Linked DNA regions of Cricetulus griseus. The protein of the gene in region 2 binds, or shares a complex with, the protein of the main gene of each other region. Links are inferred from orthologs where the notes say so. Each region holds a gene or a part of one and is shown on either strand. Other genes may lie near its edges. The genes, in order: anionic trypsin-2-like and Tmprss15.

Region 1 (4,578 bases), on a different chromosome or scaffold from region 2:
CTCAATCATGACCTCACCTCCAACATGCTTTTCCTTTATCTTGGATCAATGGATAGGAAAACATCTGATAGGGAGGACCCTCCGATTGGGTCTTATAAATTAGCACAAGCTGACACACAATGAGGTACTACCCTTGTACCGCTGCATTATACCATAGTAAAATGAACATTGAATCTTAGGAGTGACCTAAGATAACAGAAAAACCTGGATTCAAGAAGAGTCAGCACTGACTGCATACAGCATTATACTCTGCTTTCACAATAATAGAAATATCCACAATCTTCCCATGTCTCCTTGTACCTCATTGCTGTTCAAAAGTCATGTTGAATATTGACCAAAGCCATTCTATTCTTCAAAATTAGTATAGACTTCTAGAACAGGCAGTTGTACATAACAAACAGGGTAGATATTCTTAATACAATTACCTAGGGCCACATTGATAGTCCTTATGATAATCACGGATTATAACCATGGTATTGTTTGTATACTCTCAAGGTTCCCATGTAGCCTTAATATTACATAAGTAGGAAAGGCAAATTTCTTGAAATTGTAGAATTTGACAATTGTATTTGTGTAGTTCTTTGCCCTCTAAAAAAAAAAATGTCTAAAATCAGGGAGCCTGCTTAGAAAGCATATTCTCTCAATGACCATCTTATTAGTAACTCTGTAACTCCCTTCTTCACATCACTGATGTTCCAGGGTTTGTCCACAGATATCCATTTTTTCTTCTTCTTATTAATTATTAAGGAGATTAGCCAAAATCAGAGCAAATCAATTAAGGAACCACAGATAAACATTTTCAGAGGGATTGTTCAAAGAGCCCCACTATGTACCCAAAGGAGGACTTTTTCAAAGTTACTAAAAGCAACTTCCATCCATCAAGGGATTTCTTTAATTTAATATTGTACTTAATTATTTGTTTGTTTCTTTGTTCCCCCCTTTCTTCTTTCCCAAGTCCCAGCCATCCCTTTTCTACCCTCAGCTCCTCAGTTTCTTTTCACAGCAGCACAGGCCTCACATGGAAGTCAACAAAAAAGGGTACATCAAGTCGAAGGCTAGATATGGCTGCCAAGAATGAGGATTAGTGTCCCAAAGCTGGCAATAGTCAGAGTCAGCCATTTTTCCCACTGTTAATAGTCCCAAAAGAAGACCAAGCTGCAAACTATAAAATATAAACAAAGGCCTAGGTAAGTCCCATGCAGGGGCCTGGTTGTCTGTTCATTCTTTGTGAGCTCCTATGAGTTCAGGTTAATTTATTCTGTGGGTTTTCCTGTTGTGTCCATCTGAAGGTTTCTAAGCATCCCATAAAGTCTTTCATCTCCCACACTTATTAATTTAATATAGTAGAGCAGAGCTGTGGACACACAGATTGACCGTGACTGTTTCCCCTATTCTAGCATCCTTTCAAGAATCAGCTACGACTCTGCCTACCACTGCTGTGGAGGCTCCCTCATCCACCTCATCAATGACCAATGGGGGTGACTGCATCTCATTGAAACAAGGCCTAAGTAATGGTTTCCTAACTGCATTGCCCAAAGAGCGGGGCATCTTTACTTTCATGAGAACAATTTTTTTTTGACACCTGAGGATCTCCTATTGCCAAGAACTCTAAAAAGAGTTGACATTAAGAATCCAAGAAGTGGAAAATACAGGTGTGTTTGCTCAGTAACGGTCAATGGCATCACACTTCCACTTCACCAAGCAGAGTTCTCCTCCTTAGACATATAAAAGCATGCCCCTCTTCAGACCCCACTACCTTCTGCCACCATGAATCCACTCCTGATGCTGGCGCTTGTGGGAGCTGCTGGTGAGTCATGCCATGTCCAGTCCTGCTTTTCTATTTAATTAAAAAACATGGACTCCTCCTTCAAAGCCTTCCCTACTACATTAATTCTCCACAATTTTACTTGACGTTTTGTAATTTGTCAAGCTTCAGGACAAGCTTGATTCACTCACTAAAACATCCTTTATTGAATTTAGAGCCTTGATTACCTAGACTGAAATAAAAAGCAAAACTGAAGGAGCATAGCATGAACCAGGACTCATATTCTTCAGCATCAACCACACTAGGAATCCTACAACATAGTAATTGATGAATTACAGAGGGAAGCAAGCGATGGGTTAGGTGACTGACATGCAATCAGATCCCATGAAGTGTGTTTATGTCAATGTTCTATCCTTTTGCTGGAACTATGAAGAGTTCTGAGCCCACTAAGATCTACATACCTGTCCTGCATTCCCTTACCCTGGCAGGTATTGAATCCCAGGGCTGACTCCTGGGGAGAGTGATTTCCCTGATTTCTTTCAGTCATTCTGCTCAGAAAGTAATATTGAAACGGTGGAAGGTACTAAGCAAAGCAACCTCCAACAACATGATGAGTTTGCTTCTACTTCCTGTCTCCTCCATAGTTGCTGTCCTGGCTGATTCTCTAAAGAGAAACATCCCACAGGAACAAACAAATAATAGATGGAAAAATAAAGCAGGCCATGTTCAAAACTTGATTCTAATATGATCAAGTTGCTAAGTGTTTTCTTAAGTCATTCTTGCTGTCCTAACTCTGATGCTTAGAAGTTATCGCAGCCCTGTGACAATGGCCTATCTTTCCTATGGAGCCAAATACTAGGAAACCCAACAATCTATGTTACATATTGGAAACAGAGGGATCTCCACTTTCCTGCATTCATTGTGCTCAGTAGGAAATCCAAGGTTGAAGCTGCCATCGAGCCAATGGCTTTACCATCTAGCATGCTAATGACTTGGCTTGTTCTCATCTCCTATCTCCACTCTAGTTGCCCTTCCTGTTGATGATGGTGACAAGATTGTTGGAGGCTACACCTGTCAGAAGAACTCCATTCCATACCAGGTGTCCCTGAACTCTGGCTACCACTTCTGTGGAGGCTCCCTCATCAATGAGCAATGGGTGGTGACTGCAGCTCATTGCTACAAGACGTAAGTGATGGTTTCTTGATTGCATTGCTCACAGAGTGGGGCATCTTTACACCAGGCATCTCTATGAGCCAGTGAGGAAGATGTGGAGGAAGGGGAAAGATGGGGAAGAAAGATGGAGTGAACAGCACTGGATGCTCACAGTCTTTAAATAAACACCAATACATAATAGGATATAATAGGATGCTTCAGCAATGCACACACACACACACACACACACACACACACACACACACACAGAGAGAGAGAGAGAGAGAGAGAGAGAGAGAGAGAGAGAGAGACATAAAACAAGAAAAAGACTGCAACTAAGGAAGGCTTTCTTTCTCATCTTAAACACCAATGAACCTGGAAAAGTTTTTCACAACAGCTTTCCCTCCATAAAAATAAACAGTAATCAGTGTTTTAAAATACATTTGAAGATAACTATGATTGTTGATTAGGAATTATGTCCAGAGTATGAGTCTTTCACAAGGTCTGAAAATCATACTGTGAAATTCACACACTATATTTTGACCCTTCTGGTTGAAATGCAACAAGACGAAATCTTTTCAAAATGAAATGATGATTAAAAGTTCCTGCTACTACTGTACATGGAAAAGAAGGATGAAGAGAGCTTTACATAACTCCTTAGATACTTAGCCCTGGATCTTTTTGTATATTAGAGTGAGGAGAAAACTACACCTCCTTCACCTCTGGTCCTGTACACGTCTCTCTGAAAAAGAATGTGAGATTGTGAAAAACAGCGCCCTGTCACCATCCTGATTCTCCCCCTATGATACCGCAGCAACAGCTTTCAGTGGCACACGGGTGTGAGGAGCTTGAGAACTTTGTGATATCTGCAGTCACAGAGATAAAGAAACTAGCCTGCCTCTCTTTCCAACAGTCGCATCCAAGTGAGAGTGGGAGAGCACAATATCAATGACCTTGAGGGTGACGAGCAGTTTGCCACTGCTGCTAAGATCATCAGGCACCCCAGCTTCGTGAGGAAGACCCTGGACAATGACATCATGCTGATCAAGCTGGCTTCTCCTGTGACTCTCAGTGCCCGGGTGGCCACTGTAGCTCTGCCCACCTCCTCTGTACCTGCTGGCACTCAGTGCCTCATCTCTGGCTGGGGCAACACCCTCAGCTTTGGGGGTAGGTAGGAGGGGTCACCTGCTACTTCTCTTGTGTCAATACACTCTGCAATCACCTCCTCTCTGGAGTTATCCCACCGGCTTCCAGACTGCAAATGCATTGCAAGCGCACAGCACATGCAGGTTCTCAAGCAGAGCCAAGACAAATTTGTACAGCAAATGGACTGATCTCCAGAATGCTGTCCAGGCGCATGCACAATGTGCTCTTATTCTTTTGGGAAGGACATTAGCAATGAATGTTGTGTAATTGAAAAGCCACAATTTCTGAGTGGAACGTAGTATCTCAGGGAACACTCCATTGCTTGCCAGTTGTTTCACAGCAGTATTGTTGTCTGGATGCAATAGTCTTCATAGTTTTCCTTTCCTCACAGAGCTTTATCCAGACTTGCTCCAGTGCCTAGAGGCACCCGTGTTGACTCAGGCTGAATGTAAAGCTGCCTATCCCGGAAAGATCACTGATAACATGTTCTGTGCTGGCTTCCTTGCAGGAGGCAA
Region 2 (3,075 bases):
GACATTTGTAGTTACTCTGGAAATGATCCAAGAGATTAAAGTAGTAAAGCAAATTAATTTATTACACATTTTTGGCTTTAATGGACAATTCAGCTGTTAAGGAACAAGTTGTTCATGTTAAGGATATTCTATAAATATATAAACTAAGAAAAAAATTTTAATAGCTGAATTTCCTCAAAATACCTGCTTGTTTTTAAGATTTTAGTAAATACCAGCTTGACATAAATGGTTAAGTTAAAATGACCCAGATAAAGATTATTTGTGTAGAATGATGTTATTATCTAGTTTACTTTTTTATGTTTTATGGTCAGGAGAGAGACGTGTGTGTGTGTGTGTGTGTGTGTGTGTGTGTGTGTGTGTGTGTGTGTGTGTGTGTGTTTTCTTTACCTGGACAAAAGGCATATTGATGATGTGATCATGTTGGCAATATGAGTTTATAACAAATGTATATGAACAGGGAAAATATTACATTTAAATAGAAATGCACTCAGGTGGTAAAGAAAGAAAACAAGGGTGATTCTGGTGGTACACTAAAGGGCAATTAGATGAGTTACAACAGTTCATTTCAAACACCACACTTCAGACAAACTATTACATTTCATTTCTTTACCTATTTTTGCTTAAATGTTTGCAGATGTCTTAAAATAATAACCCTTCACATAATAGAAGGTAATGAAAATGATTGAAAACAAAGGAAATGATGTCTATAAAATAATTGTTTATTATGAAACAAAAGTCCATTTTAGAGTTACTTTATGTTGCAAAGATTGATTTGAATTTGTTTTGTCTTTCTTCCTTATTCCAATATTTAAATGATTCAGTTTAGAAGAAAAGCTTTTCTTTCCTTTTCATGAAACTCTCAGTTGCCATGCTACTTTGAGTAAAAAGGAAAAACAATCAAACAAACACTGTCCAACTTTCATGTTTGGGTCGGGAAAATGTCTAATGTAGAAAACTTTGTATCCACTCTGTGAACCCTGAGACCCGGGCATACACCCCAGGGCGATTAGGCAGTGCACATTGGACTCCAAATGATGTCACACCAACAAGAAACCACCTGTTGTTTTCTTGGCACATTAACGGCCCTCCCGAATCACCCTAAAGTGTAAACAAAAAAAAGGAAATTGTGGGTACATGGCCAATCCAGTATAAATAAGTACAACTGTGCTAAGTTTACCAATAAAAATATAAATGTAAAGAAATATGATCGGTTGCCAGTTATGTGTCTATTCTCACCATCATTTTAGCCATCAGAAATTTGCTATTCAAGAAGATGGGCCCATTGGTAACAACAGAAAGTTTATAATTTTGGTGGAGCGTTTCTTATATTTTTGGTTGTGAGTTTAGCCTTTAATGGCTGAGCCATCTCTCCAGCCTGTGGTGGAGCATTTCTTAGCTCTGTCATTTTATTTCAACACAGTTAAACATTCTAAAATTCCACAATAAAAAATCCCAGCAACATCAACATGCTAATCACTTTATTAAGTAACATATAAGTACCAGAAAAAGCCTTCATGTGAAAGGCAAAACTATTTCACATTGTGATTTTAGAAGAATTAAGAGCTCTCACACAGTTTTGGAGTTAGTTCTCTTATGTGACTGAAAGTTTTGTCAAATACCAATCAGATTTGAAAACCTTAACATTTCAATCAAAATAATCAAATCTCTTATTTTCTAGTAATCAGAACATATGTTTTCATTTAGATTTCAGTTATAGGAGTGTGGCTTTTTGTCACACTGCAAGTGAGGTAAGTGATAGTTGATCCTGATCACATAGGTCTTATTTGTGCATAATAATTCCTATCTAATGCCCAAAGAAATGGTATGTACATGTAATAGCATAACTTAATTATGAAAAATGGACACACATTACTCCCATATTATGCAAAGAATTCTGGTTATGTATTTATTTGTCTTTTTTTGAGATAGGGCCTCACTATGTAGCCTATACTTGGCTTGGAACTGACTATGGAGATCTGGCTAGCACTGAACTCACAGAGAGCTGCATGCCTCTGCTGGAATTAAAGGCATGTACTAACCAGCAAGTTATTTATTTTTATATCATGAAACAATATGAAATGCTATATACTTAATTGAAAACCACTGCTGTAATGAAGTATTCAAAATTTGGCTCACTGTTAGGAATTGTCCTGAGAGACCCCTTGCCTAATGTTTTAACCTCCTTTAGTGTTCTGTTAAAAGGGGGAAGGTGGCCTGTCAAAGCACTCACTCCCTGCTCCACTATTGGACAGAGAGGAACACAGGTGGCATTGGCAGTCACAGGTTGCCTACATTTAAAGTGCGACAATTGTACCAAAACTGTCTGAAGGAAGGGCAGTGATTTTTACTTTTGTGTCCTAAGGTCTTAATCTGTATATTAGATATATTTATGAAGTTTATTGCTCACAATATCTTCTATATTTTTTAGAAGTTACTAAAGTTAAACCAAAGCTTAATCAGGTGTTTTTAAAAGGTTCCTTCTATTTCATGAAAATAATTGACATTTTATTAGGTGAGTATGAAATATTGATGTTAGGACCAAATGTTTTAATTGACGTGATGTATACTAAGTCAGTTGAGTGGCAGGGACACTTGAACCCTGAATAAGGCTTTCTGCCTTTCTCCTGGGTCTCTGCATGGCCAGGGGCCTTGGCTTTGTTTCCAATATATCACTTCCCAATGTCCAGCCACATCATGTCATTTATATTATGTAAATTCCTGGCCTTGATTTTATAATTTGTTTAGTGACATTTCTTCTATTATTTCAAGGAAATGTAACTATTTCATAAACTAATGCAAGAACACAAAATATTAAAACCAACTCTGTTTCTACTTTGATACTATTTACAGTATGTAAGTATACATAGTATATGTTTATACAAGCACAAAAGATCACTAACTTCTTTGAATGTGAAAGGATTAATTACTATTTTTGCTTAGAACAATGGTTCTCAAACTTTATTATATGTTATAGTCACCTGAGGGACACAAGAAAGCAAACATCATTGAGCCTCAATTTAAGATTCTGATTTGCAAGCCTGTGATGGACTCTTAAATCTGCAATTTAAACAAGTT

What was found.
Region 1: the proteins of Tmprss15 (region 2) and anionic trypsin-2-like are in contact, whole or in part, in a cryo-EM structure (PDB 8ZIV), measured with the Homo sapiens proteins. The link is inferred for Cricetulus griseus from reciprocal best matches to the Homo sapiens genes TMPRSS15 and PRSS1. Residues at the interface, in NP_001414986.1 of Homo sapiens: Tyr276, Thr277, Ile279, Trp297, Glu298, Leu316, Glu318, Asp320, Glu321, Ile369, Gln370, Ser372, Phe374, Pro376, Phe377, Ala389, Gly399, Pro400, Gly401, Gly402, Arg403, Glu405, Glu432, Asn433, Lys485, Ile486, Leu487, Val513, Pro514, Thr515; in NP_002760.1 of Homo sapiens: Phe18, Asp19, Asp20, Asp22, Lys23, Ile24, Val25, Tyr45, His46, Phe47, Cys48, His63, Cys64, Tyr65, Lys66, Arg68, Ala91, Lys92, Arg95, His96, Arg101, Lys102, Leu104, Asn146, Tyr175, Phe188, Leu189, Glu190, Gly191, Gly192.

What each region holds. Positions count from the first base shown.
Region 1 is NW_023276806.1:227,421,500-227,426,077, reverse strand, and holds the start of anionic trypsin-2-like, read left to right. Parts: upstream 1-1,767; coding exon 1,768-1,807; intron 1,808-2,790; coding exon 2,791-2,950; intron 2,951-3,830; coding exon 3,831-4,084; intron 4,085-4,454; coding exon 4,455-4,578. UniProt on the Homo sapiens protein: Has activity against the synthetic substrates Boc-Phe-Ser-Arg-Mec, Boc-Leu-Thr-Arg-Mec, Boc-Gln-Ala-Arg-Mec and Boc-Val-Pro-Arg-Mec. The single-chain form is more active than the two-chain form against all of these substrates.
Region 2 is NC_048597.1:16,541,019-16,544,093, reverse strand, and holds the end of Tmprss15 (enteropeptidase), read right to left. Parts: intron 1,099-3,075; coding exon 943-1,098; 3' UTR 742-942; downstream 1-741. UniProt on the Homo sapiens protein: Responsible for initiating activation of pancreatic proteolytic proenzymes (trypsin, chymotrypsin and carboxypeptidase A).